Linked DNA regions of Arabidopsis thaliana. The protein of the gene in region 2 interacts with the protein of the main gene of each other region in a pairwise test. Each region holds a gene or a part of one and is shown on either strand. Other genes may lie near its edges. The genes, in order: ENODL9, G1, AT5G07475 and AT5G19570.

Region 1 (8,494 bases), about 12 Mb from region 2:
TCACATGAGTCTTGAGATCCAGCCTGAAAACCGCCGATCCATTAGGCAAAACAGCTCGTAAAACCGTCTGGTTGTTTAGCGGCCAAACTTGACCCCACTTCTTGGCCTTCTTCTTGTGTCCTTGATAGAACTTAGGCACTGTGTAGTTAGCGACTAAGACAAGATCAGATGAATTGGTCGTGGTCGTGTTGATGGTGGAGAAAGTAAGGTGGACATCGTCGTAGTAGATTCCTTTGTCTTTATTCGGATTGTCACAACGAACCATGAAATTTAGAGTGGTATTGTCTCGTGAGCTTAGGTTTTTGCTGAGGGCAGGAATGTAAAAGTTTTGGATTGAGCATTTGGGTTTCTTGGCACGGAGACTAAGCCATAAGATAAGAGCGCCGAGACGAGTTGTGAAGATGAACTTGAAGAAGCAGGTACAACATTTTCGACCAAGTTCTTCTTCTGGATCTATTTTTGTCATGGTTTTGGTATTTTTGCCTGAAAGCTGAAGAAGATCGTTATAGTTTTTATGACCCAAAGAAAATGATATTTAATAGACCAACTGACTGGCAAAGTCATACCAAAATATTTAGCACAGTTAGCGATACAATTGGTTAAATATTGAACTTGAAAGTTAAGATATCAACCCCGAAATATTGTACATCGAACCTTTTTCTATGGAGCATGCATGTCATTTTTGTTGACTTCTTCGTCAATTTTATAAAAATATATCAATGGTTTACGATTTCAGTTTTCTGATAGTAAATTTTAAACTTTCAAATTTTAAAGTTAATAGAAAGTTTAATAACACGAGATATATTTATATCGAAATGAGTTATATGGCGGATTTTTTTAAAATAGATAATTAAAAATTTAAAATATCATTGATCAGATACTTTAATATGGGTTTAATCTTCATTATTTTACTTTGTTAACATTACCAATATTATACATATCAAAACAGATTGATATAATCAAAATTATGTGAAATCAAAATTATCTCCCTATATACCGCAAGTTAAATCTTAGTTTTTGATATCATGAACAAAATTATCCGTCATATGTATGTAAAAGTTGTTTGGCCAATTCAATCTAGAAGTTTCCAGGTAAATTGAACAACTTGTCTTATAAAATATTTTAAAAACTGTTACCACATAAACTGTAAATAAAATAAAAATCAGTAAGAAAATTTATGTAAGAAAAACAAAAAAAAAACTGAAAATTTACTAAATTGATAATACTACATCCATATTCGCTTTATTCAAGAAAGCTCAAAAACTCTGAACTGAAAACAAAGAACTAGTATCCAAATTATTCTGGAACCCACCGAGTAAATTTATGACCAGAGTTTGTTTCATATCGAAAATAATCGAAGCGGTGGTTATTTAGTTAGGAAACAAATTTGCTCAAAAAAAAAAAAAAAAAAAAGTTAAGCAACAAATATGAAACTCTTGTGTCCAAAATTAGCAATTGCCTTAACACACATTCTTAAATGTCTCTCCGCGTGACCACCAAATTAAACCAGAGGCTCATATTAAGACATCTTCTTTTCCAACCATCTTCGTTTCTTTGCATTAAACTTTTGGATTTTGATACTTTTTTACAGATTTTTCACATTAAACCTTATTCGTTGATCAATCTTCGTCTTTGTTTAAAAGGCTTGGTTGATTCCTAGTTTTTTTTTCTCTCTCGCTGCCTTGCGGTTCCAGTAATCACAAGGCGGTGGGGAAGAAGAAAAAGATTGATAACGATGAGGGCTATTGACGTTAAAACGGGGATGAAGATACCTTGGGACGTACGCTATTCATTAAGTCTATTTATTTTCTTATCATCAATTCTTTTTCTTTCCAACGGCCAAGATTATGGAATGCCGGGCGAGGATGGAGGAGGAGGAGCTGAGCCACCGCCGGAGATGGCACATTGTAACGGTATTTTCATGAGCTACAACTTTGGTAGCCGTGAAAGAGAGTACCCGCACGTGAAGAATGTAACCGCCCAATCATGGGCGTTTAAATCGACTGCGATGATTGTAAACGCGGGTAGGGAAGAGCTTAAGGGATGGCAAATGTTCATAGGGTTCCGTCACAAAGAACTGATCGTTTCCGCGACTGGTGCGACTCCTATGGACGGAGATTATCCTCTAGACGCGAGCAATGGAACCACGTTCGTTGGATCGCCAAACATGGATTTAAAAACCTCTATTGAAACAGCCGGTGATTTCACTCAGATATCTGCGAATATCGAGATCACAGGAACTCTTTTTGGGGTTTCAAAAGCGGTCACGCCCATGCCAAGAACTATTAAGCTCACCAACGATGGTTGGGAATGTCCCGCCGCTAAAAGAAAAGGTTAGATCAATACTCAAATCGTTTCAAACGCAACTAATTTATATTTTTTATCATCAAAATATTATTTATAGGGAAATTATGAACGCAATGCAAAACGTAAAAAAAAAATTGCGTTTGCATTTGCAGTTTATGAATCAATTTAGGTTAAATCATTAAATATTTACACTCCCTAATATAATTGTCAAACAAAAATAAAAAAGATGTGGTGAATGTGATATTCAAAACGGTGTGTTTTGTTATCTTGCGCAGGAGGTAGTATGCACGTGTGTTGCAAGAGAAACCCTAAGATCAAGAACAAGATCGGACTAAAGACAAAGTTTGCACCGAGAAGGTACGGTGACCTGAACATAGTCTACGATGTTCTGCAATCATTCGACAGCAACTACTTAGCCCAAGTGACCATCGACAATGATAATCCTCTCGGGCGGTTAGACCGTTGGAACCTGACTTTTGAATGGATGCGAGGAGAGTTTATAAACACTATGCGAGGAGCTTACACTCATAAGAAAGATCCATCGGAATGCCTTTATAGCAAAGCTGGACAGTATTACAAAGACTTAGATTTCTCCCAGGTCATGAATTGTCAGAGAAAACCAGCCATTTCCGATTTGCCTCCTGAGAAGAAGGAAGATAACATGACAGGAAAGTTACCTTTCTGTTGCAAAAACGGAACTCTCTTGCCACCTATTATGGATCCTTCGAAATCTAGATCTATGTTTCAATTGCAGGTAAATCATCTCTTTCGTTTAAAATATGTTATGAGATCGTAGAAATCTTCGGGTTTTGAAGTTTTTGTTTTCTCTCAATTTGTTAGGTTTTCAAGTTGCCTCCTGACCTAAACAGAACAGCTCTATACCCACCTCAGCATTGGAAAATCGACGGTGTTCTCAATCCTCAGTACAAATGCGGGCCACCGGTTCGTGTTGACCCGTCTCAATTCCCTGATCCTAGCGGTCTACTGGCTGTAACCTACGCCATCTCCAGCTGGCAAGTGGTCTGCAACATAACCAAGCCTAAAGCCCAAGCCTCAAGATGTTGTGTCTCTTTCTCTGCATTTTACAACAACTCTGCAGTTCCTTGCAACACTTGTGCTTGCGGATGCAATGACATCGATACCGACACTTGCAATGCTAACAGTAACCCGCTCCTCCTCCCTCCTGACGCTCTCCTTGTTCCGTTCGATAACCGAACCTTAAAAGCTAAAGCTTGGGCTAAACAAAATCACATGCCAGTACCAAAGAAACTTCCTTGTCCAGATAACTGCGGAGTCAGCATTAACTGGCACGTTAGCACGGATTACAAAAATGGTTGGACCGCAAGGTTAACCGTTTTTAATTGGAGAGATTTCGCGTTTGAGGATTGGTTTGTGGCGATTGATATGGGAAAGGCAGGTCCAGGATATGAAAACGTTTACTCCTTTAATGGAACACGTGTTCCACCAAGCAATCGAACCGTTATCTTCCAAGGCTTGCCTGGTATGAACTATCTTGTAGGTCAAGTTAATGGAACAAATCCATTAAGAGACCCTCCCGTGCCCGGAAAGCAACAATCTGTCATCTCCTTCACCAAGAAAAACATCAAAGGACTGAATATTCCCGAAGGCGACGGTTTCCCAACAAAGCTTTTCTTCAATGGAGAAGAATGTGCGCTTCCAAAACATTTCCCTAAGAAGAGCTCAGGGCATAGACGCGGTATCAGTGTCTCAATGTCCTTTGTTTTCGCAACAATCGCGGCTTTTGCACTAATGATGGATTAATTACTGAGGAGATAACTATACTTACCATTCTTGATCAGTTTTTTTGATCTTCAAATTCTTAAGATTGGTGTTTTGATGATGTTGCTGAACAGAGGAAGGATCAAAAGGAGCAGATTGTTATATGATTGATCTAAGTTGGAAAAATATTGACAATGTTGTATTAATACTTTTGTTTGGTCTATAAAAGTATTAAAGTGTATGTTGTTCTCTAGTAATCCCAAAATCTCAGATTAGTGTTGGCCTTTTTTTTGGCATGAAGAAGATCTTAGTACTTTGATTTGATGTTTTTGTGAAATCTCTCTTCGTTCTTGAAGATCTTTATCCGAAAAGTAATAATAAAATATAACACAAAGATTCTGAAGCAAAGAACAAAAGCCATTGACAGAAGAAGCAAGTCACATGAGATTCCAAAACTGAAACACTTCTGGCATTTATGCTTTGCTTAGAATTTGAAAAAAGACAATAAAAAGCTTCTCTGCAACATTTCCTCAAAATCAAAAAGCATCACCTTTATATAAACCCATTTGCCTTTCATCATCTCATATCAAACCCTATACCACACTAGATTCACCTTCACCTTTCTAAAATCTCTGTTATTTAGCTTACGAAATGGCACGAAACCTAAAGAGCATGATGCTTTGTGGGTTTGGTCTCTTGTGTTTTCTTATGATCGTTGACCGAGCCTACGCTAGAGAGTTTACGGTCGGTGGTGCAACAGGTTGGACCGTCCCTTCTGGTTCTCAAGTGTACAGTCAATGGGCAGAACAGAGCAGATTCCAAATTGGTGACTCTCTGTGTAAGTTTTTCACACTGTATTGATACTATTTGATTCGTTAACTGCAATCTTAGTTTCTTCGCATATGACACAAATTTATACAATGCAGTGTTCGTCTACCAATCAAACCAAGATTCAGTGCTCCAAGTCACAAGAGACGCTTACGACAGCTGCAACACGGACTCACCAACCGCTAAATTCGCCGATGGCAAAACTTCTGTCACGCTGAACCACTCTGGGCCATACTATTTCATTAGTGGAAACAAAGACAACTGCAAGAAAAACGAGAAGCTTGTGGTCATCGTCATGGCTGATAGAAGCGGCAACAAAAACACCGCATCATCACCGCCGTCCCCAGCCCCAGCTCCCTCAGGAGAATCCGCTCCTTCTCCACCTGTCTCGGGAACCTTTGAGATGACCCCAGCACCGACGCCTACTACTTCTGAAGACACTCCAAACAGCGCAGCTTCTTCCTTATCATTTGTCGCTGCTCTTCTTGGGGCTGCTCTAGCTTCCACTCTATTCCTACACTAAGAAGTTTCTCTTTTGTCTTCCCTTTTCATTCTGTATCGAGTCTTTTCCCTTTCCCTCTTCATCCAAGTTTGTGTCAATTGGTGTTTGTTGTTTGATTTTTTACCCCATTTGTTTTTCATGTATATGAATAAAAGTTCTACTCGTGTGTATTTTACTGATGTCATATGTATATAGTAATGGAAGGATAAGAAAAACCAGGCGGATTTTAATAGAACAAGAACCATAAAGAAACTAAGATTGTGTCAAACAAAAATTCTCTCTTTTTTTGAGTTTTTCTGTGTAGATCAGCTATTCAAAGTAAACAGTCTGAGGTTCTTCTATGGTTTTATATATTAATGGAAAATTCTAACCTCCAGTGGACGATCAAATGTTTTTCCCAAGTTCGACCTTTTTTACCAGTCTTACTGTATTGTGAAAAATCGAATCTAGTATTCCGGCAACCTGAAAAAATCCACATGTAAAATCAGAAATGACCATTGAATCCATGCGGGTATGAAGACGCAAGGTAACTGAGAAATTACTAACCGTGAAAACACCACCAATAATGGCACACAGATTTGTGATGAAGTGTGAGAAGGACTTCGGGTTTTCGGTTATTAAGATCTGCAAAAACAGACCAACCAAGGAGTAATTATAAAGAGGAAAGTATATATATTGTGACATTTTCGAGAGATAATCTCTTGTTTGTGTAAATGAGGACTGAACCTGCATAGGAGAGAGCTCAAAGTGAAACTTCGCAACGGGTAAGTAGTAAGTCTGAGCCACGCTGCTGTGAGCGGTGTATTCATATTCCTCTATCAGTGAATGTTCTTGACCGGATCTTCTTGTAATGACCTCTGTTTTGACTGTTTGAAGGTAGTGTTCGATCTGTAGAAAGCATGTTGAAAACAGTTAGATGAGAGCCAGTAAAAGAAAATTTGACGATTGTTCAAGACTCTAAATTCCTATGAAGGTTTCTGGGACTTACAGTGACATTGGCACCAAACTCATGTTGATTTATGAATGCCTTTCCATCCAGCCTGTCATGGCTTAGGCCAAGATATGGCAACAATCGCTTCATATCGGTCAGCAGCCTAGGAGAAATCATCCTCCCAAACGAAAAATGAGAAACAACATGCGACATGTTCATTTGAGAAGAATCAAATGAATGAGCTCCTGAATGAGCTGAGATCACGAGATTTCCTGGAACCTGAAACATACAAAAGACAAATTTCAGTACATGCCACAAATCAATTACAGGACATTCATTCAGTGTTCACTTTTCAGTCCGAGGTTTACCTTCTTTACACGTACATAACCTTCAACTCTACAACCTCCTGTAACTGGTCCCTTTTTAAGATGTTTTACAGTATCATTGGATTTTCCATCCAAAGCCACCTTGTGAGTCTCCGGGTGGATAGGTGCGACCAGTCCCTCCACCATCTGGAAGAAAGAAAATCTTATATGAACTTTTAGACTGCTTTCTGTTGACTCAAAACGTAGCACAAAGATATGCTGTGCATGTATATAATATTTAATCCATAGACAAACTAGACGTTTTTCAATAACTAAGTGACTAATACACCACATACACATAAATGTGAATGTTGGCTCATTTATTCCTGATACTGAAACGAAATTTGGATTTGTCTACCTTAACTATACTGTCTGTGTCCCGATCTCCATAGTAAGATTCATGTTCGTGGTGTCCATGGTCCTCTCTGGAAACATTGAAACAGGTACACTTTCATAAAATTATTTACACCAACAGATATATGGTCTATTAACCTAAAGGAAGTTAGAGAGGAAAAGACGAAAAGCAAAAATTTAAGATTTTGAACAAATTTACGGTGATGACTTCACATGTGTCAACATTTGACTGTACCGAGAACACAATTAGGAGACATAAACTCGAATTTGTCGCCACATGGATACATAAGGTTAAGTAGAAGAAATGACGAATTGTGTATAACTAAGAAACATCATATCAGATGTTTTCTCACCTAAGGTCACTGCCTTTGCGGAAAATACGAATAGATGGATAGCCTTGTATGTGATTCCTGAAAACACATTCCACGATTTATGTTAAGTCAAACGACATTCACTGCTCCCCTTGGAATTGCATCCTTGAACAGCAGGAATTAAAAAGGTGCAAACACAAATTCTTCTCTTCTTGGAAACGACTCATTAATCAAATAAGAAAAACAAGAAAATGGAGGAAAACATCAACTTCGTAGTACCTCTTACATAGCGCAGGTTCTTCCGTGCAATCAACATTTCCTAGAAGAACACGGCCATCAGCTTCAGGATCATATCTGCAGCAGAATATTAACATGAAGATGTTTCAGAAAGAACATTATCAGCCAGCGGCTTAAGAATATCACAACTTAATAAAAATGCCGAAGATTCTAACACAAACCTTTGTTTTATTATATTAGCTGCTTTCTCCCATGAAGGTTTCTGAAGCAGATAGTAGAAAATACAAAAGAAACTCATCATAACCAAACATGAACAACTTTTTCAATGTCAAACAGGAATTGAGGTACACAATACCCATAAAAGCTACATAATATGAGCGTATTATTCAACAAAAAGTTTATTGTCATCTAGAATTCGTAACACAAAATAGCAAACCCTATACCCCTTTAGCACAAAACAACAGGCAATATGAAGAAAGTAAGTTTCCCTATAAAATGACATGTCTATGATTCCACATATCGTGATTGAATATATTCACAAATAACAGTCAATAACGAATTCAGGAAGATTCTTTCTCACTCGGTCAAGCAGGAAAAACAAGTTATTATGAGTACATCCCCAACTGGATCATTAGTGCTTGTATACCAGAAGAAAAGTAAAACTTCAGAAAATTGGAAAGATTATAAGCATAAGTAATTACCAGACGATTACTCCAGTAGCACCATGGTGCATTAAAGTTAACAACCAATATTGGAAAGCTGCATAAAGAAATTCAATTTTTGTTAATCGATATTCAAACCATCAGACAGGACTCTTATGCATGCACAATAAAAAAAGAAGAAGCTGCCTACTCACTGATGTGATAATGCTTCAAAACTAGCACTGGTCAATGGTATAGCACCATCAGGAAACTCTTCC
Region 2 (8,670 bases):
CTATATTCCGCTTGACCAAAATAAATTCTAGTTTTACTACTATTTGGCCAGTTTAAATTACGCAAAAAAAAACAACGTCCATAGATCTGTCAGAATCTTTCATAAACAATATTTATGCAGAGATTCGTCGTTATCATTTATATTCATAAGTATTAAGTACCTTTCAAATGTTGAGGCTGCCACATACCGGTTGTGCGTGACACAATTATACATTGCTGATATTTTCTCGCAAATCCAATTATGTTTACCGATACAAAGCGTAAGAAATCATCACAGAATAGAATATAAATTAAAATTAAAATATTATCTGACAGAACATAATAAATGGTCGAGAAAATAATAAATAATAATATGTGCTGTTAGATAGCCGGCAAATGGCTTTTGCCACCCACATTGAACGGCGAAGTCATGTCAACACGTTTTACTGTTAATTTTTTTTGTTATATAAATAAATGGTTAAGGAAGTAATCGTAATTAAATCTCTGCTAAGCTATGATTAAGTCTAATCACTGCTGAGTGGATTATTAGTTTATGTGATGGCACAAGAATGTTATTATATAGATTAAATATAATTCCATGGAACATATAATTGAGAATGAAACGTATGGTCATGTGGGTGAGACAGCTAAGAATGTCTTCTAGTTTTTGGGTAAGAATGTATTTTTTATCCAAAAAGCACGGATCGTACTCTTGAAATGAAACTAACCTTAACTTTGCATTATTTGGCTTGTAGTGTGTACTTCTCAGTTTGAGGCAATCTTCCCTCGAAGCTGTAGTTTATAAGGATTGAAACATGTAACAGTAAACATAAATCATTTTTGCAACACTATCGCTATCATCAAATTGAACTTGAGCTCCCGATTACTAGAACATGGAAACACATATGCAAAAGTGTCTCCAAAACTCGTAGCCATAATCTTTAGTACTACGACATAAGCCAATTAGGCACGACAGAGACTGAGAGACATCAAAGACTATTCCCAGGGATTATTCCAACATAACGTACAGAGATGTAGATTTCCGATACTATATATAATATATCTATACATTAGAAGATAAAGACGATGGTCGTTTTCCAATATTTAACAATAATCAAAAAGATAAACAGTTTCAATAAGCATTTTTTTCCAAGGCAACGTAGCAGTACTAAAATGTCAGTCAAATTTCTCCCAATCTTGAGTTACATTGGCCGAAGGCGAAGCTGGCGGAGGAGGGTTCAAGCTTCCGACACCGTTTCCGAACGATTCCCACTCAGTGCTTACAGCTGCAGCTTTGCTCTGATCCACAAACGGATTTGAACATCTTGCCTTCAACTTATCCACAGCCTCCTGCAAGTTTTGGATTCTACGTACCTGCCAACACAAACCACAACTCATATATCTTCCAACTCTATTAACACTCTTACCGTGTAAACATGCTTAACAAAGCAAGAAAACTAACCTCAGCCTTACGCTGTACTTTAGCGTCCCCTTCAGCCTCAATGCCATCCAATTTGAGCAGCTGCCTCATAAGAAGCTCTGCAGCCATGTCAAACTCCCGCACCGCAACTTGCGTCCCTCCATTCACAGCAACTTCTAAAGCAACAACCTAATTACCAAAAAAAACTAGCTTAAGCACAATCCTTCCGTCATCTCCAAAAGAAATACAGGCTTATAAAAACTCACTCTATCCGAGAGCTTATCGACCTCTCCTGTAACCGCGTTAACAGCAGCAATAGCTTTTTCCATCTCTTTAGTTACCACAGGAGGCTGTTGTTCCACTCTCTTATTCGTATCCTCAACAACAACAACAAGCTTAGACGCATCCTTAACACCAGCAGCTTGCAATTGTTCAGCATCATCTCTCTCAACTCCTCTGAACAAGATCTTCAATTCACTAGCTTCCAATCCAGTTTTCTGAACAAGAGCTTTCTTCACATCCCCTAGTTATCACATTCGAGCTTAAACATATCAATCTTCAACTACACTAACACAACTTCAACAAAAACTAAATAGAGCAAGAAAAATTTCATAATGAATCACGCTAAATTCTCTCAGGCTTCGATTATTTGGAATTTTCAGGCGATGGATCAGAAACGGAGCTGAGAGTTTTGTTACCGAAAGTGGCGTGAGCAGAAATATGAAGATCGTGGTGCGATGAGCCATGAGAAACAGTGATTCTGATGGTTTGAGCAAAAGCGGCGGAAGCAGAGTCGGGATCCTGGAGAGGTTTGTGGTCGGAGGAAGCGGCGTCGTCTCTTCGTTGGACGAGCATACCACCAGGTCTCACCTCCCATTCCGATTCTTCGGTTGAATTATGCATCATCGTTTTTCGACAATGAATCGGAGTATGAGATTAAAGTATAAAACCCTTTGGGCCAAAAAAAATTAGGGTTTTCCTTGTCAGGGTATTGATAGACGGATGATGCACACCTCCTCAAAACATACAAATTCTCCTGATAACACACATGTGTTTCAATTGTTATATATTTGTCTTTTTTGGTAATTAGAATTTTTAAGGACTAAATGAACCAAATATTTTCAGAAATTGTAACAATATTTTTTTTCTTCTTAATATAGATGTTTTGGTTTTTCACATATGATGATGATTTGTGAAACGTCAGAAAAAAAAAATCAATAAGTTTAAGATTGCCAAAAATAGGTAACGACTGATTTTGGATCCAGCCAACCGGCCCTGGATGGAATGATTCAGTGTCAATGTATATGTATATAACTCACGCTTTGGCAGGATTTGAGGCAGGATTTGAACAAGCCCAATTTTAGACAGGTCGGCCGAACCGCCACAATGCATATAGTGAGAGATTTAACTTGATATGGTCCCCAACCAAAAGAACTTATAGGCCTAAAATCTGAACTTTCTCTGAACCAAAAAACAAAAACTATCTACGAGGAATATGGAATAATCTAGTTAGTATAGGGCAGCAAGTATAGTAATGGTGATTTGTCCCATATTCAAAATGGACCAAGCACACAATAGCAATCGAATATAGTAGTGACAAATATCGTAATGCTCTTGTTCCATACTTGATAGTCAGTATTTTTGATGACTCAATCATATACCACTCGTTCCATACTTGATAGTCAGTTTTTGTTGACTGAATCATATACCACCCACGATAAATTTGCTATACAATGAGAGACTGATGCATATATAAAGATGCACTTAAAAAAAGCAAAAGCAATAGCGTAACTGCGGAACACTTCAAACTACAGCTACATTAGTAGACTAGTAGTTGGTTATCAACCAACAAGCCTAAGAGAAGTGCCAAAACAGAAGCCAATGCCATGATTCTAGAGGCAAAAACTAGGCACCTAATCGACTCAGAAAGTACAAACTTGAAATCTCCAGGGCCAGAATTGCCTAGTTGAAACATAAGATGCATAAAAGGAATGCATGACCATCTTCAAGATTGTCAACAAGCTCAACCCATATTTATAAAACAACAAAGAAAGAGCTTGGAACCTCCAGAACAACTAAGAGGAAGCTCTGAAAGACCTGTATGTTCAACTCTTTTGGCTATAGTACCTAGTCATGATAAGAATAAGGTCACACAAGCTACAACTTTGGTGATACGTTTACAATTATATACCCACGACCTGATGAAGCTAATAAGATTCACTAGATCAATCTAATCTGTGTGCAGCAACAAAACATAGCTTCTCTAATCTGTGTGCACATCAACAACAAACAAAACATCCAACAACACAATGAATCAAGCAGCATATTTGATCCCTCGTCAAAGTGTTCTTTATTTGATCAACACAACAAGAAAGTAGATTAGCTTATAGCTTTGTGGAATCAAACAAAGCTATTGTATAGTGTATCACATTTCTCCACTTAATTCTCAAATAGACTCAAAAATCAAATCTCTGTTTTCCAGGAATATAACATTCCAATCTTCCTACTCTTTTCCAGAAACTATAATCAAATATAACCTTATAAGATGAACAATACTCACCAAAAGCTCGAACTTGGGGAAAATTTTGATTAACTTAAAAAGAATGAAGTTTATACCAATCTAAGAAGCCGCAACTTCAGCAGCTTGTTCAGTCGCCGCCGCTTCAATAATTTTCTTATTCTTCTCAATCGCCGCCGCAACTTCCTGTGGCATATACTTCTCATCATGCTTAGCCAAAACTTCAGTCGCCGAGAAGAAACAATCGAGGTTCCTAGCTTTCTTCGAAATAGGTTTTGTAGAAACTTCCTTCCTTACTTCATCTGTATACGGCTTAATGAATCCTTCAACCACAACTGAATGACCTTCCCTAAACAGATCCGGCAAAGATCCTTTATACCTAACCAAAATATCAGTGATCAGATCAGTGATCACAAACTCCATCTCCTGTGACGCCGCCGGCTGCGCAACGCTACCTTCTAGAACCAAACCACCGAGTCTGAATTTGTTCTTTGTTGGATTCTCTGCGAATTTCTCCATAGCGTCTGATGGCGTTAGGTAGAAGACAAGCTGATCCTGAAATTGGTTAAGGACGATAACTACGAATCCGGCGATGCAGCTGAAGGTTAGCGCGTAGGTCCATAAACGGCGATTCTGCATCTGACGCGCTTTGGCTCCGATATCGATTTTCTTAGGACGTGTTGGACCGCGACGAGCGATGGAGAGAGATCGGAGGAAGGTTAAGGATGATAATCGCGATGGATCTGGTGAGGCGGTGGTCAATGAGTGAAAAATCGGGCAAGGTGGTGATTCGAATGACGATGAGATTTGAGGATTTCGTTGAATTGATCGGAGGATTTGAGAACTTCGACGGAACAATAACCTAGCTGCCATTTTCCGGGAAGATTGATTTTTCCTCGTGGGAATCAATCAAATTCCCGAGAGCGAGAGGTTTATGGGGTTTTCTGGAAAAATGAAAAAGAAGCCACAAGCCGCCCCACTGAAGAACTATGGACCACGTCAAGAACCCTCTCTGTGGTTTAGAGGGTTCAATCACAATTTCTTAAGTGAAATTCTGATTACTATTCGTTACAATCTCAAAATCAACCAATCCAAAAATCTGTATAAGCTTCGATTATTGAAGAGCTGAGTTTTTTTCTTCTGTCACAAATATTTCTCTTCTGTGGGATCAAATCCTTACCACGTAAACACATTCAAAGAGTAGTTTGTTGGTAACAAGTGTTTCTAAACAGAGTTATTGTTATAGCCTGAAACCAGATAAGTATTTTTGATTAGAGAATGAGATAAGATTAGGACAAGCAAAGAAATGATGATGAAAAGTGCTTTGTGCAAAAATATGCACAAAGGTGGTAAACTATTGTTTGTTTTTTTTTGTTTAAGAAGAGACTCTCTTGAAACCCAAACATACAACGAAAGAGGTACCTCAAGTTTCAAAAATTCTTTAAAAGAAACAAAGACAAATCTTCCTACTCATTCTTGAGCATTACTACTTGCGTCCATTGGCTCAGCCTCTGTTGAAGCCTCTCCTTTCTCTCCCGCCTTTTGGGCTGCAAAACACCAAATTGAACCTTTTTAATCAACATGTGGATCACGTCATATAAGGTAAAAGTCTGGAAATTTATTTTAAGTTCTTACCTTTCTTCTTCTTTCCACCACCTTTCTTCTTCTTGATGCCCAAAGCTAACCACCCTTTGATCTCAGGGTCTTCGATGGTCTTTTTAGGAAGTTCCTGAAGTGTATGTGAAGTGATCCTATCTGATCCATTTGGCATCAGCAAAACTGTGAACTTAATCTGAGCAACAAAATCCCCTGGTAGAAAACCAAAACGACATGAGCCTTGATATCAAGATTCAGATAAAAGAGGTTTATAGATTCAAAACCCTTTCATCATCCTTACCAGGCTTCTCGTAAAGAACAGGATATGGTTGCAAATGACCATGGTTCACACACTCCACAAGTCCAAGCCGTGCCCTTTTCTCCTCCAGTGACCTGTATTGATAATACTCTCAGGTAACGTTAGCAAGTGAGATAATAGTTTAAGGAATATAAAATGCTTCAGAAGGTACAAAAGACACCTTGCAGTGAATGGCATACGGGGGAAGTTCTGTTTAATTTCGCTGATTATGAATCTGGAGGCCTTCATCTTCAACTGATAGTTAACACTTTCATCTTTCTTGTAAATAGTTGTTTGCTTCTCGTCTAATAGCTTTGGCTGCAAAGTCAAAGATTGTGAGAACAATGGCAATAGACAAAGGTTCACCAATAGTGATCGGGATGCGATAAACAAAAGAAATTACCTTGCCATCACCAGTACTTGCCACAATATCTATTGCATAGACTTCATTCTCTTCAAATTCCACTTCGTCAACAGTTGTTTCAGGGCTGGATACACTAAGCACAACCTTGTTTCCATCTATCACATGCTGTTTCAGCTGGTGGGAAAGAACACCTTCAACAATTTTGCAGTCATAAGCTGCAGCTACCTTCTGAATAGCTTCAGTTACATCAGTGTTCTGCGATAAGAAAAACAGAATATCAATGTCTTGATTGCAATATGTTGTAGTACTAAACAAGAAACTACAAACTCGTAGCAAGAAACTTTATTTTAAAGAACTTTCCCACATCAGAGTAACTACGGCCTCATTTGGATGCGAATCCATAACAATTACGGTCTTCATCCAGAAATCTTTTCCCAAAACAATTTACATTTGAAGTCCGCTAAAAAAAAAAAGCATCGTGCAAGACCAAGAGAGGAAAACCTTAGACAAAGTTCCAACATCTCATAGTAAATCCAACGAGGGATCAGACTAAAAATCAGAATAAGAAAAATCCCATCAGAGTAACTATGACAAAAAAGCATCATATGGATAATAATCCATAGCCATTTATTAAGTGTTCATCATCTGGGTTTTGTAAAACCTTGACAATCATTCAAGAGGCAGTTATAGTACCAAAAGCCTATAGTTTCAAGTTTAATGTAAGAGTAAAACTGATGATACCTTTTTTCCAGGACGTACGAGCCTTAGAGCAACATCAGCTGCAGTATTTGCGGCAGCGATAACATCAGCCTTACGCCCACTAAGAGGCCCTTCTTGAAGAACATGTGTGTGACCAACAAGGGCAATGAACCCATCAATATGACATCCCATATCGCTGCAATTGAGAAACGCAAAACAACATCAGAAATAACACAGGTGAATCATACAGAAACATCTAAAAACAGGTATTACTTGAAGACAACTTACATTTTAACCATGTCACCATCTTCCAACACAGACTCATCACTAGCAAGCGGTGAAAAATGACCAACAGTGTTGTTCACAGAAATGCATGTAGGGAACGCAACACCTCTCTCAATCTTCTTCTTAGAATTCTTGTACATGCTTGCTGTTTGCCTTTAATACAAAAACAGAAGAAAGAACAAACACATAAATATCTAAGAGTAATCCAAGGTCGAATCTACATTAAGAACAAATTGAGATATACTCACTCTTTAATAAAAGAGTCTCCTTTCTCACAGATATCAACAATCTTAGCTTTTGGTTTGCATTCAGCTAAAACAACCTGTAACGCCTCTGCAATTGAAAACCCAACAGAAATCAATACTCGATAAAGCTACACCTTCAAAACCCTAAATCCAAATCGGACTTAAAACAAGAAAGGAAGAAAGAGAGGGTGTATTACTGTTAACGATCTCAGCGGCGCTCTTGTACTTGGTGACGACTTCAGGAGAGGTAAGACTCAGCTCCTTCTCGTCTCTCTCATCGTCCGAACTCATCTCTGATAACTCTCGAGAATCGAAACAGGGGAAGCAAAAATGTTAGGGTTTAAGGAGGAGCGATTGGGGGAAAACTGGTGGAGAAGGAGAGAAATGAAAGTGTTGGCTCAAATAAAGGTACTAGGGTTTTCGCTATGTGTGCTCTCTTCTTCTAACGATGCCGTTTTGGATTAATCCTGTAACGCTTTTTCTTAATTGCGTTACTTTTGTACTCCAGTATGGGCCGAAGAAGGGAAGCTGTTTCAGAATTGTGGCCACTAAACATTTACCCTTAACCGGGCCCATATAAGCCCACGTCAAGTGGCGCTTATACGCTCTCCGTAAGAGAGCCAACATTTGGTATGTAATGTTGCAAATTATTCTTCAAGACAATAAATTCAAATATAATTCAATATTGTCCAAATATAGTGATGTACTTCAGTTGTGCACATAGAAACTCCACTAAACCAACTTTTAGATAGATGCATTCACAAATTTTCAACAATGTCGCGAAAGTCTAATCCACACCAGATTCTAACATTTTAATTATTATATTTAACTATACATACTCTAATCAGCATGAGTCAAACGTGTACAATAGCCCAAGCATATAATAAGACCAAAGTCAAACTCAAATAAATGTCTCCAAACTCAAAACTTGAAAAAGACCTAATTATTACATGGTAGATATGACTTTGTCGACAAGTAAACCAACTAATCCTCGAAGCTACCTTCTCTTCCCAGTTATTATGTGTGATCGATTTATAAATCTCTTCTTCTAATAACACCTATATTTTTCTTATGATGTGAATAAATATAAAACTTTTAACTTTAAAACATATTTATCCGAAATATTGCACTTAGATTTCAAATAGATAAATAATAGTACTATCTAACTGATATTGAAAAGACCTAACACGGAAAACAGTTTTATAAAAAATCCCAAATGTGGGTAATTATCTTGATTTCTTGGGGGAAACAGAAAATGGATTAAGAT
Region 3 (5,507 bases), on a different chromosome or scaffold from region 2:
TCAGCTACTTGAGGAGGCTCCTGAGCTACCGGAGAAGGAGAAGTTTCCACTACTTGAGGTTCCTGAGTTTTCAGAGAAGAATCCATTGTTAAGTGTATTGTTTGATGATGAGACCTCGGGAAGCTCGTTTATATATATAAAGAAGCTAGTCAGAGATTAACACCTAAAAATCATCGCTAAATAGGAATATTCATATTTCAATGTAAGTAGTATTTGACACACAAGAAAAATACATTCAATCAATACTATGTGTAGCATTTATAATTTGGTCAAATTGTTAATGAATAATGGATATATTACGCGTCATTTCTTTTATTGTATATAGAAATACTGTATCAACTATCTATTTAAAAAAAAAATCCAACAACCATCATTATAATTTGGAAACATAATTCAAAAAAATTGGTTGGTCTGAAATTATTTAGATCAATTCGTATTTGAGAAAGACAATCTATAGATTGGTCAGATATAATATTGATCAAAACTTGGAAAACATGTGTTTATGAAATGACTTTTGATACCGTTCACATTTTTTTTGGGTCAATTACTCAACTAGCTAGTTCTAAGCTCTATTATATGAACTATGAAGGATGACTTAATAATAAACAATCATGCAAGTATGCAACTTGTAGGTTGGTGGGCACGTTTGTTTATGCAATCAAAACTAGAGAATCATTACTCTAATAAAGGAATGGCCCTCCAACACTCTTTTTTTTTTTTTTTTTCGTTGGCTACATTTACCATGTTGATGGCTTTTTAGATCTAGTAAGGATCGCAATGATTATTTGGTTTATGTTTATAGAGTATAACATCAATATTACAACATTGCGAATGAAATTCCAAAGAAGTAGTTACATAGCGTGTGAACAACTTAGTCAAGTTTTACACAATCTATTTGACACACAAGTCCTTTGATGCTAAGTCCTCTGTTTTCGGAGAGGGACAGAGGAAAGCAGCTTATTAGCCGTAACAGCGGATTGGGTCGTTGCAGCCTTTGGCAGTGGATTGCCCTTGGCCAAACCGCCCACCTTTTGACAGATACTGTTGATGATGCTCTTCAGCTCTGTAGAATTTCTTAGCTGGCAAGATTTCAGTCATGATCTTTCTCTCCATTTGTTGCTGGTGACGTTCAAGTGACTCACGGGCTAGTTTCTCCTGCTCGGGTGTGTAGAAGTATATTCCAGATCTGTATTGGGTTCCCACGTCATTTCCCTGATCACAGCAAAGTCATAAATCAAAGTATCAATTTAGCATGGAAGTAGGCTGCCGAGAAAACTGAGTACTTAAACTAAAATTATGATAGTAAACACAGAGAATTCAAACTCATGAGATAAACAGTCATAAGACTGGTCAGTATATGCTATTGAAAGTCAGAGAAGATGCAAATGTAAATTGTCGGAAAAAAGCATAAATAGGATTTTTTTTCATCATAATACACAAGGTTAACATCATCGAGATAGTTGTCCCGAGTTTGCAACAACAGAAATTGCTAAAACCATATAACCTAAACAGACCGCTTACGATTTGGTTTCGTACATGCGTAGAATTTGAGAATACTTCGCTATGAACCCCAACGAGATAATTTGACTATAAGCTAGTGAATTTCTCAAACAAAACTAGCAGAAACTTGCATATGATTATAGTTCTCTGCGCACAGATGCAAGACAAATGATAAGCCAAACTAACATCAATATAAACAAACATGAAATCCAATGCTAATCAATGATCATGAACAGAACAAGAAGAACCTCTCTGAAATCCGTATCTCTACCTCAATTAAAAAGGGAGCAACAGGGGAGAGATTACAGAGCTACTACATAATCTGGATCATACTAAGATCAACGACCAAAGTTACCAACTCAAGCCTCATAATTCAACAAAAATCAAGATTCAATATCATTTCCTTCCTCATATTCTACTTAGATGATCAAGGTTCCAAATTTAAAAAGTTTCAAAGTAAAGACTGGTGATGAAAATCAGAAAGCTATCAGATTTGAGAAAAATCAAGAAATCCCCAAAGCACAACAGACTCAGGCACATCCCAATAGATTCAATAATCCTAAAGACAGAATCTTTCTCAATCCCCGAACTTGAAAGGTTAAAACTTTCAACTCTTGGATCCAAAAATACCTGGCGATTCAAAGTGGTGGGATCATGCCTAGACCAGAACAAATCAAGCAGAGACTCATAGGTGCAATCGTTAAGATCATATTGAACCCTAACAACCTCCGAATGGCCTGTGGTACCAGAACAAACATCTCCGTATGAAGGATTGTCTACGGTCCCTTGGGTGTATCCAGCCTCGGTCTGAGTCACCCCTGGGACTCTCTGAAACGCCAGCTCGACACCCCAGAAACATCCAGCTCCGAATTGGGCAAACTGATTCCCCGGCGCCGGTGTGTCATCGTCATTTCCCTGAGCGATCGGAGAAGGATCCATATTGGTTTGCCCACTTGATCCCAAACCCAATCTGTTGAGTATGTTCATTGAGAAATTTCTAAAGAGAGATATGAACAGAGGAGAGGAGAGAGATGCTGCGAAACTCAAGACGTGTCTTCCGGTAACTAGCGTTTGCGTTTTGGTAGCGATCACGATTAGATAGTGATAACCACAACTTTTAATCGCAGTGAATCATCTGTGATATAGATACGGTCAAACGGTGAATTTACTACACCGAACCAGATAAAATTACCTAAAATATAAACCGATATCGGTTATTTTTTGAATTTTCCGCTATCGAATCGAACAAATACAAATTCAATGTAGTCAAAGAATCTAATTCCTTTTTTTTTATTATACATTGATTGATTAATAACTTTAAGCATAACGTTGTTTACATGTCATTTTTGTAAGAAATTTGCTGAGCAAACAAAACGAAATTTGTATAACGAACCAAAAATTTAGGTTTTAATTTGGTCATGAACTCAAACAAAAATAAAGAAATTCAACAAATAAATACTCTCACTCATTATAGGGCAAATATGAATACACATATACATGAAAACACTTATTATAGATAGTTTTTAATCAGCAAAACCATATGAATGGAAAAGCAAAAACCATAAAATATACAAAAATTCCCATGGTACCCCTCCAACCGCTGTCGCCAACAAAACGGGCGGCTGAGCTAGCGACTCCGGTCGCAGGGTTATTCTTTTTAGAAGATGGTTGAAGAATCCCTGAAGTGGCGGCTTGGGGAGATCCCACGGGAGCCTGAGATGGGCCATTGCCTTCAACATTGACTAGTAACCTCATACCGGCGAAGCAATGGAGCCTATTACCGCATACAAAGAACCGGTTTCCCGGTTTGGAAAGAGCAACGGTCGTGTTCCCGTTTGTGAACGTCCGGATCGCATCTGTTGTGTTGCAATTTTGGTAGTTGTCTTTAGCCACTTCGTATACACTATGCGTCGATGAGTATTGGAACACTTGCAAAAACATTATACACATAATTAATTAGACTAATTAGTTCATTAAGGGAAACTGTAAATTAATTTGAGTTTTTAATTATGTAGTATATATATAGTTGGATGAAGCCAACATGATCAAAGATACTTACTTAGAACATCACCAGGAGAGAATCGCTTGCCTGAAGTCCAAGACTCGAGATCGGAGCTTATGTCCCAACCGGAGCTGTCTCCTACAAAGTATGTCGTTGCGTTACATCTTCTTATTACTACAACCCCAAATATGATGCAGAGATTGAAAAGAAATTGTATCTTCGACGTCTTCTTCATAGTGCACGCTGTTTGTATTTTCTCAATAAATTGCGTTTAATTTTCTTGTATTGCTATAGTTGTCTATATGCATATGTGTGAATGGAATTATGGAAATATATATGTTTTTATATAAGGCATAGGTTAAGGTTGCTCATTGGTGGATAACCTAACTTCACAACCACCACAACATATATGATCTGCTTTGTTCCCTATAGCCTTTTTTTTGTTCTTAACAAATTTTTCGTGTTTCACAATTCATATGATTCATATGCTGTTAGTTAAAGTCCACAACCCTAAAATGGTTAAATCTTGATGGAGATATTGAAGCAGTAATTCATATTTATTTTTTGTTCTTGATTGCACAACATACAAATATAGGGAAGATTTTAATGGCCAGTAAATAATGCTTGTATTTATATATGATCTTGTGGAATGGTGATATTAGTTGTTATGTACTTTTCCTTTTCTCGAAAATACTTGCAGAGGGCTTGGAATTGGCATTGAAGGGGTGTTGAACCATAACTCCTCGACTAATCCTGAGTGTTTCTCTTTACCAAACCTACCTAATAATATGCGTCCAGAGAATTTCCCTTGTAACACTTTTTATAGTTGTTGGAGCATCAGAACTAGAACATGTATGATCGAAAAATTATACTAGATATATGGTTTAGCCTTTTGGGATAAAAAGTTAAAATATAGTCGAATTTTTAAAACATGTACAAGAAAACAATTCTTTTTGTCCTAAAATATAATTTCTAGGATGAACATTTTGTTTGCAACTTTTATTTACGTATTACGTATTTATAAATTAACTAATATACCCAACGAAAAATAGTACTAATACTGTATATCACTAGAAGCTAGGTAGTTGTATTTCGATGAAAAATCGATGTAATATTATTTCTTAATTGCTAGTTGTGTTAAATTATGATTGAAAATTCTCATTTTAATGTCAGTGACAATGTGACATCAGACATTTTTTTGTCTTTCCCAAAGGAAGATAAATGCCCATTGCATGAAGGAACCCGGCGCAATACATTTTACCTAGACCTTACGCATGACCGTATATAACAATTTCATTATTATTTTTACAGAATTGTTACAACTCAAACGACATATATATCGAATTTATCTGTACATGCATTCACATATGTGTCCAACATATTTATGAAGGCTTGAAATCCGGACAAGAGGATGCTTTTTTGCGGAAAGCTTCTTTTTGTTTTTTAGTAGTTGGGACTATGAATGAGATCGAAGTCTCCATTTAAAAATTAAATCCATGTTAGTGTTCCTACTTCCTACTATATCCCAACATCTTATTAATATCCCTCGTCATATATGAATTTGGACATTCTTATACATTTCGTACAACATATGGATGTTCATTATATTATCATTTTGATAATAAAGTTTAGTTTCTTATTGGTACACGATAAACAATTGACAGTTACACATGCTCTAGATATTCCAAAAAGGAAGAATAATAATTTAGTATTCGACCGTCATATTTTAATATATAACTCCGAAATATCAATAAACGACTACAAGCCTACAAACCTTATATATAGAGGAGCCACTCACACTTTCATTTTAGTTATCCCTTCACAATATTAACCGATTTCTCAACACTCAAATTCAAATACCAATAATGGAGAAAGGTGAGGATTCAAGCACATTCAAAATGGGGAATTCTGCACAAGAGAGGAGTTTACCGTATGTACCTGACTGTTACGTCGTCCCGCCTTCTAGCAAACCATGTGACTCAAATTCCGGAATCGTACCCACTAT
Region 4 (8,448 bases), on a different chromosome or scaffold from region 2:
CCTCGACTTTGACATGTATGGTGACTTGGTGAGTCCTCGACAAATTCAAGAGACCATTGGAACACACACTATTGGTCACGACTATATTACGAGAAAGATTGAATGTTATGGAGTTAAGGATAATATGTATTTAGAAGTCTTTGATTATGTAAGTTAGATTGTTGTTAGTTTTCAATGCATGGTGTTTTATGTTTACACTATGTTTGATAAAGAAAGTTTATGTTCTTAAACTACAATTACTTTAAGTACAATCTTGTTCACTTTGAAAAATAATAGGGTCCTACACAATTATACGTCACCGCAATTATTTATCTTTATAGACATTGCTGTTTTCAGTTTCATAAAGACTAACACTAGATATATAGTCACTTCCCTCAACAAGGAAAACAATTATCAACGTCGGGACAGATCTACTCTGATGCTTGTTGATGTGCAAGTCCACTGCAGCCAATTAAATGTTAACAATGTCCGTGACATGCATAGTCATTATTGTTAAGTTGGCTCATTTGGGAATGTGTTAATCATCTATTAATTATGTTAGTTGAGAGTTTGTTGCCAATCACGTTTCTTTATTACTTTTCAAAATATGTGTAATATGTATAGTTATGTGTACGTATTATGCAATCCTTTACCCTTTGGATCAGCCCCATGATGGTTTGTAAGGAAATGGTCCTTAACTTTATGACATCAAATTAAGAAATTGTCTGCATGACCACGTCATTGTAAAAAAAAGGGCACGAGAGACAGATACGAAACACCAATGTTTTCTTCTATCACAGAAACTCCACAAATCTATAGGCTGTTTTGGGGAGACGTCTTCTTACCACACATTTAAAAATAGCAATTGCTAATAATAAACGTAAGTGAAATAACAACACCTATAAATCACGCAGAGACAAGAGCTTGTTCTTCAGGCATCACAACAATCAATATAAGCCTGGGATCCAATTTTCTTATTTCCCCAACCAAAACAGGGGAAGAAAAAAAAAGAAAACAAAAAAATCAAAAAAAATTAGAAAATGAAAGCCTCAACAAGAGTCATATGGACAATATCTGTCCTTATGCTCGCTGCTGTGTCCGAGGCCATCTTCCCTCTACCGTTTCTACCGTTCCTCCCTGGGTTCAACAACGGCTTTAGGGACAATGAGGCTGTCAAGGTTGCGAAACCACAGCCTGCAGGAGCAGTTGGTGGAAAAGCCGCAAGAAGGCAGCGTGGCGGCGGTTTAGACGCTCAGACAACCTGGGGTGGTAAGTGGGAGCTCTTCTTGGAAAACTCGGGTGTGTCAGGGATGCATGCGATCCTTATGCCAGTTATCAACAAGGTCCAGTACTATGACGCCACCATTTGGAGAATTTCAAAGATTAAGTTGCCTCCAGGCGTACCATGCCATGTCGTGGACGCTAAGACTAACAAGGTCGATTGTTGGGCTCATTCGATTCTCATGGATGTCAACACCGGCGCCCTTAAGCCTCTAGGGGTATGTTCAAACTCACGACACCATCTTTTTTTTTTTTTTTTGGGCCTAGGCCTAGACACGGGTTATCTTCTTCTCATTAAATAGAATCATATTATACGAACTTGAATTAAATATTTGCATTCACATGTTTCATGATAGCTTTCCACCGATACATGGTGCTCATCCGGAGGTCTGACCGTAAATGGTACATTGGTGAGCACTGGAGGATACGGAGGAGGAGCCAACACCGCGAGGTACCTATCCAGCTGTGAAAACTGCAAGTGGGAAGAATACCCTCAGGCATTGGCCGCGAAGAGATGGTACTCAACGCAAGCAACTCTCCCTGACGGAAAGTTCTTCGTGATTGGTGGAAGAGACGCCTTGAACTACGAATACATTCCTGAGGAGGGACAAAACAACAGGAAGCTCTTTGACTCATTGCTCCTCAGGCAAACAGACGACCCGGAAGAAAACAACCTTTACCCTTTCGTCTGGCTTAACACCGACGGTAACCTCTTCATTTTCGCTAACAACCGATCCATCCTTCTAAGCCCCAAAACAAACCAAGTCATCAAGGAGTTCCCTCAGCTCCCAGGTGGTGCCCGTAACTACCCGGGATCAGGTTCTTCCGCACTCCTCCCCATCCAACTTTACGTGAAAAACCCCAAGGTCATCCCAGCCGAGGTTCTCGTCTGTGGTGGTTCCAAACAAGACGCGTATTACAAGGCTGGTAAAAAAATATACGAACCAGCACTACAAGACTGCGCCAGGATAAGGATCAACAGCGCAAAGCCACGATGGAAGACGGAGATGATGCCAACCCCACGAATCATGAGTGATACTGTCATCCTCCCTAACGGAGACATCCTTCTAGTCAACGGAGCTAAACGTGGTTGTTCAGGCTGGGGATATGGTAAAGACCCTGCCTTTGCTCCCCTCTTGTACAAGCCCCATGCTGCACGTGGCAAGCGTTTCAGACAGCTCAAGCCCACCACCATCCCACGTATGTACCACTCCAGCGCCATCATTCTTCCAGACGGTAAGGTTCTTGTCGGTGGCAGCAACACCAACGACGGTTACAAGTACAACGTTGAGTTCCCAACGGAGCTTCGCGTTGAGAAATTCTCCCCACCTTACCTCGACCCGGCTCTAGCCAACATAAGGCCAAAGATCGTCACCACCGGCACCCCAAAACAGGTCAAATACGGACAATTCTTCAACGTGAAGGTCGACCTTAAAGAAAAGGGAGCAACCAAGGGAAATCTCAAGGTTACCATGTTAGCCCCTGCCTTCACAACACACAGTATCTCAATGAACATGAGGATGCTCATCTTGGGTGTCAATAATGTCAAACCTGCTGGTGCCGGTTACGATATCCAGGCCGTTGCACCACCAAATGGAAACATCGCTCCACCGGGTTACTATCTTATCTTTGCCATCTACAAAGGTGTTCCCAGCACTGGAGAATGGATTCAGGTCGTCTAATGACGATAATTTTTACCCATTTTGTCTTATGACCGTAACATCTTAATATAAAACAATCACATAATATCAGTTTTTTTTTCCTTCTATATATATTGTTTATGCCACCATTAATGGATCCAAATTACTTGTGTTTTCTTTCACTTCTATAAACTTTTCCGTTCATGTAAACCTTTTCGGTGAGTTTTTATGACTAAATTTTGTATTGGAGAAATTCTTTTATTATTACTTTTGGCTCTATTCTTTCTTCACTAGTTCGGTTTTGCGTATAAATCATTCGATGCGTTCATTGCAAGTCACTGTTTGTTTCATTGACTAGTAATGTTAATTACCTTCGATAATATTGCAGAGAGTTAGCTAAAATTCTCAAAAGATGGTACACAAATAGTTCTTTCGCAAAATAGATCTCACAGAAACAGAGTCACGGTTTTACAAAATTCGAATTTCACAGAACACAAAGCCAAATTCCAAATACAATAAAGCTCGTACCTAACAAAGCAAGTCCGATTTGAGTTTCTTCCCCTAAAAGGATCCCAAAAGCGGCGGTTGCGGCAAAGGTTGTGGCGTTAGTCACCGGAACGGCAAGAGAGATGGGAGCGTGACTGAGAAGGGCGAAGAATGTGGCGGAGGCGGAGAGGTTTATGAGGAAAGGAATTGAGTATTGCCAGAAGAGGAGGAGATTGATCCAGTCGCGGAGAGCAATCATGATTTTGCGGCGGATCTGAAGAGGAGGAGAATGAGATTCTGTTGTCGAAGAAGACTTTGTTTTATCCCAGGCAAGAGCGCCACGACGGATCAGAGCATTGGTGGCTCCCCATACGAGCCCTACCGCCACCATCTTATCCATGTCTTCCTTCATCGCCGGTGGCTGATCCCGATTTGCCTTTTCCGTTGTTCTGTGTTTTAACCACTAAATGTTGAGTAAAGGAGATCAAAAAGAAGAATTATTTGGATATCCAGAACCGACCCGAACCCGAAAGGTACCGAACTAAACCCGATCCGAAAAATTTAAAAATCCAAATAACGGACCCGAATACCTGAATAGTCCGGATGGTAAACACAGATCAATGGTATTATCACAAACCACTAAATTACATGTCGTCATCAAATAATGTTTCATTACAATACTACTACACTACTAGTCATTATCAATGAGCTTCAAAATCCATTAGGAAACAATGTTGTAGATTAGACGTTACAATACAAAACACCAAAGAACAAAAATACCAAAATATTGTTACACACTGAATCACACTTCCTTCTTAGAAAAAACAACAGGAAGCAATAGTCAAAACAAGCAACAATCATGATCAAACACCAAGTCTCATGTCCAAATCCTAAAACCAATGCCTGCATTGTTATATATGTACATTCTCACACACTTTAACCTTCTTCTATTCTCTCTCTCTCACTCTCTTTGTGTTTTTCTTCTTCTATGCCCTGTTCTATTACCTTCTCTTTTCACTATCAGTGTCTGTCACTAGGGCTTCTCATGTTCTCTAACTTTGCTAGATATGAAAATTTCTTCGGTAGAGCTCTTGGAGACTTCATCATGGGCTTCTCCTTCTCCTGCTCAACTTTGTGGAAGAATTCTATATCACTCATTGAACTATGCTTCTTAGTATCAGATGACAATCTCCACCCTATGAAGTCTGATAGTTTCCTCGAGTTTGGTGTTTCCGCTGCAACCACCTTTTCAGTTTCCTCGTATTCTGATTCTGCCTCGCTTTCTGATCTTGTCTCTGCCTCTCCCATCAACTGTCTTTGAACTAGCCGATCGGCTTCAAGAACATCCTCTATTCTTGACATTATCTTTGAAGCAAGACTCTCTAGTACCCTTGAATAGCTCTCCAAAATCGCCTGTCCAACATCCTGTAAGATCAAATCACAACAAACTCTTACTCAGTCTCACTACATTTTTGTTGATGTTTGTTTAGTCTTTGTTATGTTATGTTACCTTGTTGTTTTTAATCTTGGAGACTTCAAGGGAGGATTGTGGGATCCCAGGAAATTGTTGTTTGAGCATAACCAAAATGGTCTCAGCTCGGACTTCGAAAAGCTCCCTCTTCTCTAAGCTAACAGTGGATCCCCACTGAGATTTCCCGTCTTTCTCTTTCTGGCACATCTTCCTCTTCCAGATCACCATGGAAGCTTCAATCCTGTTCTTTAGATCAAGTACTTTGTGTTCCGTTGACAAATCCAAGAAAGAGACAAAGTAGTCAGGATCAAAGCTCTCCTCTGTTATGCTCTTGTAAAGAAAATCTCCCAAGCTTGTCTTCCCATTCTACATAACCAACAGCCTCATCAGCTTCCTAGCTTAGTGGAAATTGTAAAGAAACAGAACACTTTTGAAGAAGAAGTAAGTAACCTTTGGAAGGGAATCAATGTAGTTTTCAGGAACGTGCATTTCAGACAATACATGAGCATTGATGGCCGTGGCGGCTTTAAGGACTTGAGCCACAGAATCTTTCTGATTCTGCAACCATCTACGTGATTCCTCAGACAAGCCATCTGTTGGAACCTTAACAACTGGTAACCACCAGTTCTCATCCCTCCTCCAATCTCCATTGTGATCTGCATCCTCCATATCTCTTGGCACATACCAAAAGTCTTTCTGATCCTTGAAGTTGTCCAAAGTTTCCTGCCAAATGAGTAATTGCATTAGTATGATAAATGGTCACAACTCATCTATTTTTGTTTGTTATATATATATATCATGATCATTTTATAATACATGCACTCCTATATGAAATTAATTAATGAGATGGTACTCTTGGTGTTATGACGTTTTCAGTTATATTTATCTTTATAATTTGCAAAGATGACTATGACTTGTAGTATATATAGTAGTTTGTCCTAGTGTCATGGATATTGTTGCAAACAAAATATTTTTGAAACGATGTGGTGTTTGATATAATATAATGGTTTAATTTTTCCCAAACGTTGAAACCGCGGTTGAAACAATCAAGTAGTAATTAAACTCACGAGAAGAACCGAGTCAAGTTTGCGTAAAGCTGGAATGTTCGTCAGCAAATCATCTCTTTGTTTTGTAACCATGATCTACAAAGGAGAAAATTAGGGTTAATAAGAAAAATCGTCACTAGTAGACTAGTAGTTGTTATATATGTACGTAATTAATGACTAACAGTTGCATGCATTCACCTCAGTGAATTGGCCATTTTTACCCATTTGTCTAGAAGGAACAAACTGGACAATGTGATCAATCACAGATAATAACCAACCCATTTCTTTCCTCCAATTCTCTTTTGTCTCCGGATACATAGGCTGCAATTTCATCTGCTCTCCAAACATCGAATCTGCATGCCAATACCAAAGCCACATTAATTAGTTTGTGACTTATTTTAACCATTCAAATCGTTATTAGACATTTAATGTTTTAATCATATTAGTAGTGTTAAAGGTTTACCAGCGAGTTTGGTGATGGCGTTTGACAAAGCTAACGCAGAGGTCTCCCCTGTCCCACCGCCTGACATGTCCTCTCCAAGAAGCAGTTTTGCGAATCTTTCCTTCATCACTTCCATGTCTGAAACAGATATCAATACAAAGATTATGTAAGGAATCCAACATAGAATAATATTAATTAAATAGTTATCAAAAATATATAAATATTAGTTAAAGAACTCATCTTTATACAACGATATTGGTAATTCTACTCTTACCAATTGATTTTCAGATCCAACCCATGCATCTTACACAAATGCAATCTAAATGCAATTCATTATGCTATATACAATACATCTAATGAAGATATTAATACATCTAATTCATTGTGGTTTTGGGATAACATTTTATTCGTTTATGTGGTTATCAAATTTAGCAATAATTAATTATTGCGGATCACATAATTTTTTTCCGTGCAATAATATCATTTTCCTGTCTATATATAATTTATAAAATGAGGACTTCTTATTTCGGTCAATATATATAAGCGGGTAATAAATGATTTAGAGATTCTACATTATCATTAATTGGAGCATTAATTAATTATTGGTGCAATGGATATATTTACGAAAATATGAAATGGATATTTTTTAGAAATTCTTTCACCTAAAGTTTTCTTTCTACCATTATATTATCTCGAAATAAAATTTTCATTTCCATTAAATTAAAATTTTGCCATTACCATTTACCAAATAAACTTGCACTAATATGTTACCTGATCTCCTATTTTGCTTGCCTCTACGAGTGGATGGTGCAGCATGTCCGGCGAGTTCGTGCTCGGGTGTATGCATGCCATCCCCACGAGAAGAGAAAGATGAATGTCCAGAGTTCCGACCATCGAACATCTTTCTAAAACTAAAAGATCTTGGCCAGCTTAGTTTACGTCCTAATGTCCGCACCATTCCCAATTTACTCCTCTCAATTTATATCTCTCCACACACTTTTTTATATTTCTCTCTTCTTTTTTCTTGTCTCAGATCGTATTATATAAAAGAAAACAAAGCAAATGAAATCCACAAAATGGAAGAGAAGAAAGCAAAAGAGACGTACAGATCAAGCAACTAGTCCTTTAGCTCTCCCTTGTCTCTGTTCTTTCACCACCGAATGAAACAAAACTACTTTATGTTCTGTACTTTTTTCTTTCCAGTTGTTTTATGTTTTTGTTTTTTAGTTGGTGCAAAATGAATGAAACAGAGAAATGTTGAAGTAGTTTTCTAGGGCTGGAGAGACAACGTGCGGTCCATGTTTTCAAAAAACAAACAAAAGATAAATAGTGGAAGGGCGGTTAAAGATACTCCGACTTTTCCTTAATTTATTTTATCTTTCATTTGTTTAGAATTTTACCTCACGCTGCTCAGGTTTTGATTCACTGGAACAATTTCGTGTAAGAAAATTGTTCGTTATTTGAACTAATCCACATTTCGTTAAATGAGCTTGTAAGAACATTTTCTAAATAAAATATGTCTACAAAAATGTGACTGGCTCAACCGATTAGAAAAATGATGTTTTAGAGTTACCCGCCGGACCGAGTTAGAATCCTATGTGCTATAAACTTGGAGAGGGATAATTTATGTTTTGTGGATCGTTATTGTTTAAGCCTGATCTCGAATTAAGTAAGACTATGGATCAAATATAGCTGGAATTTACAAACTTAATAACTTAAAAAGAGAGACAATCGAATTTTAAAATCAGATTTTGACTAATTCGTTAGTGCAACAGTAGCATGGAGGCATGTAACACGGCGACTCTTTACCAAGTCTAAACATTTCTGTTTATCCTACTAATTTAAAAGATTTGATTTCAATATCTTATAATACTGCTTTAATCGTTTAATCACGTCGTGTAATTTATCACTTTGAAAAGTGGTGTTTATGACCATTTTCTCATCCACTCACTGATGTATAAATATTGCATTGACATTTTTTTTTATCAAGCGGCTTAAACAAATGAGTCTACCTATAAATGGACACATTGAAACAAGTTTTCATTAAAGAAACAAAAGAAAACTAATTAAATACAAAAAACCATATAACCTCATTCCGTTTTA

Evidence for each region.
Region 1: the proteins of G1 (region 2) and ENODL9 interact in a protein complementation assay, tested with the Arabidopsis thaliana proteins (one large-scale study listed by BioGRID).
Region 3: the proteins of G1 (region 2) and AT5G07475 interact in a protein complementation assay, tested with the Arabidopsis thaliana proteins (one large-scale study listed by BioGRID).
Region 4: the proteins of G1 (region 2) and AT5G19570 interact in a protein complementation assay, tested with the Arabidopsis thaliana proteins (one large-scale study listed by BioGRID).

What each region holds. Positions count from the first base shown.
Region 1 is NC_003074.8:7,183,658-7,192,151, reverse strand, and holds ENODL9 (early nodulin-like protein 9), read left to right. Parts: upstream 1-4,630; 5' UTR 4,631-4,698; coding exon 4,699-4,885; intron 4,886-4,973; coding exon 4,974-5,398; 3' UTR 5,399-5,630; downstream 5,631-8,494. Other genes in the region: AT3G20590 (Late embryogenesis abundant (LEA) hydroxyproline-rich glycoprotein family), read right to left, coding at 1-466; COBL10 (COBRA-like protein 10 precursor), read left to right, coding at 1,736-2,333, 2,583-3,061, 3,148-4,089; PDIL5-3 (PDI-like 5-3), read right to left, coding at 5,762-5,839, 5,924-6,001, 6,104-6,265, 6,366-6,587, 6,677-6,820, 7,032-7,098, 7,381-7,437, 7,618-7,692 and 3 more. UniProt on the Arabidopsis thaliana protein: May act as a carbohydrate transporter. Mainly required for reproductive functions.
Region 2 is NC_003074.8:19,205,875-19,214,544, forward strand, and holds G1 (transmembrane protein G1P-related 1), read right to left. Parts: upstream 4,976-8,670; 5' UTR 4,790-4,975; coding exon 4,019-4,789; 3' UTR 3,641-4,018; downstream 1-3,640. Other genes in the region: BAG4 (BCL-2-associated athanogene 4), read right to left, coding at 1,155-1,352, 1,441-1,587, 1,665-1,921, 2,097-2,304; ATG2 (metallopeptidase M24 family protein), read right to left, coding at 5,387-5,463, 5,552-5,752, 5,814-5,905, 5,992-6,128, 6,214-6,429, 6,916-7,069, 7,162-7,311, 7,407-7,491 and 1 more. UniProt on the Arabidopsis thaliana protein: Heme-binding chaperone that may be involved in cytochrome c maturation in mitochondria.
Region 3 is NC_003076.8:2,361,800-2,367,306, forward strand, and holds AT5G07475 (Cupredoxin superfamily protein), read right to left. Parts: upstream 3,807-5,507; 5' UTR 3,738-3,806; coding exon 3,560-3,737; intron 3,429-3,559; coding exon 3,028-3,428; 3' UTR 2,907-3,027; downstream 1-2,906. Other genes in the region: PMSR2 (peptidemethionine sulfoxide reductase 2), read right to left, coding at 1-86; PMSR3 (peptidemethionine sulfoxide reductase 3), read right to left, coding at 961-1,212, 2,131-2,487; KUOX1 (KAR-UP oxidoreductase 1), read left to right, coding at 5,368-5,507.
Region 4 is NC_003076.8:6,602,089-6,610,536, reverse strand, and holds AT5G19570 (uncharacterized protein), read right to left. Parts: upstream 3,974-8,448; 5' UTR 3,799-3,973; coding exon 3,385-3,798; 3' UTR 3,216-3,384; downstream 1-3,215. Other genes in the region: AT5G19580 (glyoxal oxidase-related protein), read left to right, coding at 1,020-1,478, 1,617-2,942; ROPGEF10 (ROP uanine nucleotide exchange factor 10), read right to left, coding at 4,407-4,811, 4,897-5,223, 5,308-5,580, 5,925-5,999, 6,102-6,256, 6,367-6,483, 7,117-7,303.